Linked DNA regions of Kluyveromyces lactis. The protein of the gene in region 1 purifies or fractionates together with the protein of each later gene. This does not show direct contact. Links are inferred from orthologs where the notes say so. Each region holds a gene or a part of one and is shown on either strand. Other genes may lie near its edges. The genes, in order: ILV2 and SIS1.

Evidence for each region.
Region 2: the proteins of ILV2 (region 1) and SIS1 purify together in Saccharomyces cerevisiae (affinity purification with mass spectrometry; 3 studies listed by BioGRID, with this or other methods). This does not show direct contact. The link is inferred for Kluyveromyces lactis from reciprocal best matches to the Saccharomyces cerevisiae genes ILV2 and SIS1.

Annotation. Positions count from the first base shown.
Region 1 is NC_006038.1:1,099,957-1,104,055, reverse strand, and holds ILV2 (acetolactate synthase catalytic subunit), read left to right. Parts: upstream 1-1,491; coding exon 1,492-3,567; downstream 3,568-4,099. Other genes in the region: PMU1 (putative phosphomutase), read left to right, coding at 1-668; KLLA0_B12606g (uncharacterized protein), read left to right, coding at 889-1,356. UniProt on the Saccharomyces cerevisiae protein: Catalytic subunit of mitochondrial acetolactate synthase, which catalyzes the first of a series of common steps in the biosynthesis of the branched-chain amino acids.
Region 2 is NC_006040.1:410,886-413,936, reverse strand, and holds SIS1 (type II HSP40 co-chaperone SIS1), read left to right. Parts: upstream 1-1,257; coding exon 1,258-2,322; downstream 2,323-3,051. Other genes in the region: TOR complex subunit LST8, read right to left, coding at 1-575. UniProt on the Saccharomyces cerevisiae protein: Required for nuclear migration during mitosis. It is required for the normal initiation of translation. Might mediate the dissociation of a specific protein complex of the translation machinery. Essential for viability.

The DNA.
Region 1 (4,099 bases):
ATAATGCACTTGAATCGAAATACGGTACACAGGAATGGGAGAGGTATTGGGCATTACAACCGGGGGTCCATGAGGTTACGCTCGTGGACGCTCAGTTGACCGAGCTGGGGAAACAGCAAGTTAGAAGTACAGGTAAAGAGTTGTTGCTACCTATGGTTGAGAAGATCGGGTTTCCAGAGAAGTTTTACAGTTCTCCCTTGAGACGGTGTCTCGAGACGTATATGGAATCGTGGGGCCAGGTCTTCACCAGTGAACTTGTCAGTAGTAGCACCGAAGTGTCTGTCTACGTCAAGGAACAGTGTCGAGAGACACTTGGTAGACATTACTGTGACAAGAGGTTACCACATGACCATGTGGTGGAACAATACGGGGAAGAGACATTGCTTGGTAACACCAAGGTCCACTGGGTTTACGAGCCAGGGATGGCAAATGAGGATACCATGTGGAGCGAGACCCATCGGGAGACGGTTGAGGAGATAGACTATAGAATCGGTGGTGCTTTGCAAGAATTGTTGAGTGGTGAGGAAAGGTACATTTCCTTGACGTGTCACTCAGGAGTGATCCAGTCTGCGTTAAGAGTATTGAAACATCCAGAGATTTTGCAATTGCAAACCGGTGGTGTGGTGTTTGTGTTGTGCAAGCCAGCCGAGACAGAAGCCAAGGTCTGAGTGGACATAGGTTGGCACATCTGTATATATACATATGTAGATGTATGTACATGTGGCATATACAGTTAACACCACGTGACCACAAAAAGAAAAAGAGTTTTCGTGCGGGGAAGTGTGTTACCCGACCAAGCCGGGTAACACATACAAATGGGCTTTTTGTCCCTTCATGTCACGTGACCAATCCCCCCCCCCCCCCCCCTTCCCACCTCAGTCGAATTGAATGCCAGGGCCGAGGGCCCTGGCATCCGGTCCTCTTACCGGTCCCTTGCCTCTCCCAGCACCACTCACAACTCTATTCCACTTCCTTTCCTCCAGCACTCACTCAACTCTCACCGCCTCGACCGGCCCGTTTTTTCACCGTGAAAAATTCGATCTATATGCCTATAATACAAACATACTATACACAAAATACCATACACTTTTCAACACTACATCCTGTCATCGACCAATATCAGTCACAATTACCAGAAAACAATACCACCCACTTCACCATCTGCACCGCTGCCTCATTCTAACCCTCTTTTCTTCTCTTCTCTTCGCTCCTCTTACTTCTTACCTCTTCTCTATTGCTTCTTGGATGACTCAACCTTCTTTTTCTTTTCGTTCTCTCAGTGCTTTTGGAAAATTTTCAAACTTTCCAGCTCATCGCCTGCACCGATTTCTTCCCATTACCACTTATACAAAGTGAATATATATATATATATATATATGAACATATATAAGCAACGGTACCTCTTATTGATTGGAGATTCTACTATAGTTTAGACCTTGCTGTTGTTCTATTCCACTTAAGATATCAAGTTTCATATCCCCAAATCAAAAGATGCTCAGTCAGAGGTTTGTAACGCGGGCTTTGGCCAGACGTGCTTTTGGTAAGACATGCTTGAAATTAGGAAGTGCAAGTGCAAGTGCAAGTAACGCTGCTTCTGCTGCTGCCGGTGAGGCTAGTAGCAGGCCACAGCCTGCTCCTAGCTTTAACGCTGATATAGCTGGTGGTTCTTCTGGCGGTGCCAGAAGAAACCAGATCCCATTGTCGAAGAGATCGAGAATCGCAGACAAGAATACTGGTGTCAACATTCAAAACCAGATGGATGATTCGTTCATTGGAATGACCGGTGGTGAGATCTTCCACGAGATGATGCAACGTCACAACGTCGACACCGTTTTTGGATACCCTGGTGGTGCGATTTTGCCCGTGTACGACGCAATCTACAACTCAGATAAATTCACTTTTGTTCTACCAAAACATGAACAAGGTGCAGGTCACATGGCAGAGGGATACGCAAGAGCCTCAGGGAAACCAGGTGTTGTTTTGGTGACTTCAGGTCCAGGTGCGACTAATGTGGTGACTCCTATGGCAGATGCATTGGCAGACGGTGTGCCGTTGGTGGTGTTTACAGGTCAAGTGGCCACGTCAGCTATCGGAACAGATGCTTTCCAAGAAGCAGATGTGGTTGGTATCTCTAGATCTTGTACCAAATGGAACGTGATGGTGAAAACCATTGAGGAACTGCCTCGTAGAATCAACGAAGCGTTTGAAATCGCAACTTCCGGTAGACCGGGCCCCGTTTTGGTGGATTTACCAAAGGACGTGACGGCGGCGGTGCTAAGAAACCCAATTCCAATGAAGTCTATTCTACCATCTGATACTCTAAATCAGTTGACTCAAAGAGTCGTCGATGAGTTCACTTTGGAAAACATTAGCAGGGCTGCTGACTTGATCAACAGGGCTAAGAAGCCTTTGCTATACGTGGGTGCTGGTATTCTAGGCAGCGAAATGGGTCCTCAATACTTGAAGCAACTAAGTGACAGAGCTCAGATCCCAGTCACCACGACTCTACAAGGTCTTGGTGCGTTCAACCAAGAAGATCATAAATCTTTGGATATGGTCGGTATGCACGGTAATGCTGCAGCCAACTTGGCCATCCAAAACGCCGATTTGATCATTGCATTGGGTGCCAGATTTGACGATCGTGTCACTCTGAATATTTCCAAATTTGCTCCAGAGGCTAGAAAGGCTGCTCTAGAGAAACGTGGTGGTATCGTTCATTTCGAAATCTCCCCAAAGAATATCAACAAGGTTGTCGAAGCCGAGGTCGCTGTCGAAGGTGATGTGACTCGTAACTTGGAAAAATTGTTGCCATTGGTCGAATCTGTTCCTGAAAGACCAGAATGGTCCGCTCAAGTGGCTAAATGGAAACAAGAATACCCATACGCGTACCAAAAGGAGACTCCAGGTTCTAAGATTAAACCTCAAACCGTTATCTCCAAGTTGTCCGATTTGGTCTTGAAATCCGGTAGACCAGCCATCGTCACCACTGGTGTCGGTCAACATCAAATGTGGGCTGCTCAACACTGGACTTGGAAAAGTCCAAGATCTTTCATCACTTCCGGTGGTCTTGGTACCATGGGTTACGGTCTACCAGCTGCTATCGGTGCTCAAGTCGCCAGACCTGACGCTATCGTCATCGATATCGACGGTGATGCCTCTTTCAACATGACTCTGATGGAATTGTCCTCCGCTGTTCAAGCTCGTACACCAGTCAAGGTCTTGTTGCTAAATAACGAGGAACAAGGTATGGTTACCCAATGGCAATCTCTCTTCTACGAACACCGTTACTCGCATACCCATCAACTGAATCCAGATTTCGTTAAATTGGCCGAAGCTATGGGTCTGAAGGCTCTCAGACTCTCGAAACAAGAGGACACTGACGCCATCTTGAAAGAATTCGTTGACTACGAGGGCCCAATCTTATTGGAAGTGCAAATCGAAAAGAAGGTTCCTGTCTTGCCAATGGTCCCAACCGGTAAGGGTCTACACGAATTCATCAACTTTGATCCAGAAGTAGAAAAGGAACAAAACGAACTACGTCACAAACGTACTAGTGGTAAATATTGAAATGATAACGAAAACCTAACAAATCACCAAAAAAAATTTGGCGGAGATCTTTAGAACAAGAGTGCTACTCTGTTCAAACTATTCTTCCGTCCAAATCAAGCATATTCATTGGAAACATTGAAACACTCACATTATTATTTAAAAGACAATTCTCCACCAAACCTTCTCTATTGAAAAAAAATATAAACAAGATATGACCCACTATATCATGTATTTGTGTGTTGCAGCTTGAACCAGGTTTTAATCCTACCACTATGAGACAATTTTCTCCTTCCAATAATCTGCTTCCGATCCTGTCATATATATATACATGCAAATATGTATGTATGAATATATACTATTCCTGTATCTTGTATATTTTATTTTATCTAATTGCTGTACACTATTGATCAACTACTGATTATTCACACATCAAATTCGGCCGAACAAGGCTCATATGCGGCACAATTGCCTCGTTAGCCTGTTTCTTCTTCCCCTTTTACTGTGTAATATAGGGGCCTGTTTCCCATATTGTCCAACTGGGAAAGCTTTA
Region 2 (3,051 bases), on another chromosome or scaffold:
GTGTGATGAGGCATCTTCCATACATAACAGTTCCCTTTGTTATTTCCTGCAACAAGCATCGATCCGTCGCTTGCAACGGACAACGACTGTAATGGCGTGTTATCTTCTGGTGTCAGCTGGTTTGTGCACTGGTTTTCACCAAGATCCCAAATCCTGATATTCCCATCCTGATCGCAGGAAATCAATTCCCCTTGGTTCGGATGTATCGCTACTTCATTGACAGGTGCATTATGCTTGTAATTCCTTTGCACAGATGGGGACCGTACATCCCAAACCTTAATAGTCCCATCTTCACTAGACGATACCATCCATCGATTTTCCTGTTGAAATGCAATCGACGTTACGTTCCCTTTATGGCCTTCGAAAGAGGACACCGGATTTGGATTATTCGACCGTATATCATAAAGACGGACGTGTAAATGACCAGCAGCAGCCAAATATTTCTTATCGGACGTAATCTCTAATCGATTCACTTGGGAATCTGCATGTTGAATGGTTCGTGAACAGACTCCAGTCAAAGCTTCCCAGAACCTAATTGTGTGGTCGTATCCAGCACTCGCTAGAATAACAGACATGGCAATATTGAAGTTAGTCTGACCGTACACAATAAGAAACCTCTACCTTGTTCACAGGGGAGAAAAAGCCTTGAAAACTCCTCAGATTCCTTAAGACTTTCTTTCATCTAGTATATTGCATATTCTTTATCACATTAAACCATAATTTGTCAATATTCATGATTGAGATATAAACAACAGCAATTGAAACAAAAGTGGAGGCATAGAGATAGCCACAAGATTGTGTAGTGGCTAATGTCATTGAATGACACCTGATTTGCGGCTTTGTGATGACAGATTTGTATTGGTGGGAAACTTCTATATCACGTGATTGTCACATGAATCTCGCGTGCTTAAAGCATTCATGTTTTTTTACTTCTAGAAGGTTCCAGGGTATACTCTGAAAGAACATGATCGGTTGCAACAGAACTGAACCTGAATATATAGGAATGAAATGTTATATAAAGGTTTTCAAAGAACAGGATGTTTTTCGTTCAAAGATTATTGGTCGTTGGTATTCGATCGACATGTTTAGAGAAGAGTTTTATTGCATCTTTTGTCCCATTGGTATCTCGAAACAGTGTAAACATTAACTGATTCTTTTAGTTTACTCTAATTCTTCTAGTTTAGATAGAGCTAATTTGAACTATCATTCGACATATATACAAAAGGACAATTACCAAATTTGAAACGTCGTAGGAGTATGGTTAAGGACACTAAATTATATGATTTGCTAGGAATTTCGCCTAGTGCAGGTGAAGCCGAGATTAAAAAAGGGTACAGAAAGGCTGCCTTGAAGTATCATCCAGATAAGCCTACAGGTGACACTGAGAAGTTTAAAGAAATCTCTGAGGCTTTTGAGATTCTTTCAGATGCTCAGAAGAGGGAAGTTTACGATACTTATGGTCTAGAGGCTGCTCGTGGTAATGCTCCTCAATTTGGAGGAGCGGGAGGGCCTGGTGGGCCTGGTGGGCCTGGAGGATTTTCTTCTGGTGGGTTTGCCGGGGGACATGCGTTCTCACAAGATGACGCTTTCAACATCTTTTCACAGTTCTTTGGTGGAGGAGGTGCTGCCGGAGGTGCTTCTCCATTTGGATTCTCTGCTAGCGGCGGGTCTGGTGATGATTTCGGGTTTGGAGGCAGTAGTTTCCATTCCTCTTCGGGCGGCATGCCAGGCGGTATGCCAGGTGGAATGCCAGGTGGAATGCCAGGTGGATTCAGTAGACAACAGGCTAGACCTGAAGAAGAAGTTGTTCAGGTCAATCTACCTGTGTCCTTAGAAGATTTATTCAGCGGTAAGAAGAAATCATTCAAGATCACAAGAAAAGGCGCCGGTGGTGTGTCCGAAAAGAACCAAATTGACATCCAATTGAAACCAGGTTGGAAAGCAGGTACCAAGATTACTTTCAAAGGTGAAGGTGACTATAATCCAAGAACTGGTGGTAGACAAACATTACAATTCGTTCTACAGGAAAAACCACACGAATTTTTCACCAGACAAGACAATGATTTGATTTACACTTTACCACTTTCTTTCAAAGAATCTCTTCTAGGTTTCTCCAAGCAAGTACAAACCATCGACGGTAAAACAATTCCAATCACAAGAACGCAGCCAATTCAACCTACTCAAACCTCAACATATCCCGGACAAGGTATGACACTGTCAAAGAATCCTTCCCAAAGAGGTGATTTGATTATTAAGTTCAAGATCGATTATCCAACCTCTTTAACACCTCAACAAAGACAAGCCATTATGGATAACTTCTGAATGAAAGATGAAGAATGTCTTTATAACGAAAATAAATCATAAAAGTATGACATGACGATTGCAAATTTAGACTTCTGACGGTGATCATGTTTACAATTCAACGTCTGCCAGAAATATTATCTTCCCACCATTATGGTTCTATGTCATATGTTTTCATTTCTTTAAATGTTTACTCCCATTAATTATTTCCAATTCAAATGTTCCATTCACATTCACTTCAGCAGAAGCAATCTTATCGTATGGCTACATTGTCTGTCGATTAATGCGTTAACTTTCTGACCACACTGTACACTATTTTCAAAAAAATATCCTTCGGTAAATGAAGCACGCAACATAAGTTGAGGACGCAATATAATATGCGAGAGAATACAAGGAGAATTATTCAATGATTGTTAATACTGGTAAAGTAAGAAACGGGACGTTTCATTGTGACACCTCGACTTCTGTTCACAATGTAACCATTTGCATAGATTTTAACCTTCATTTACCTTTTTATTGAGCAAATGACATCATGCAAATAAAAGACATACCAATCTGCAAGTTTCCCGACTTCTATTTGGTTCCGAACAATTGATGTCTGCCAAAAAAAAAAAAACTCCAAGTATTATTATCAAATCTTCTATCTACCTCATACATTTACCATTACTTTTTGCCATTACTTCAATTGAAGACGTAATGGTGTCTTCACACGCGCATAAATAATTTACAAATTTATATATACGAATACAA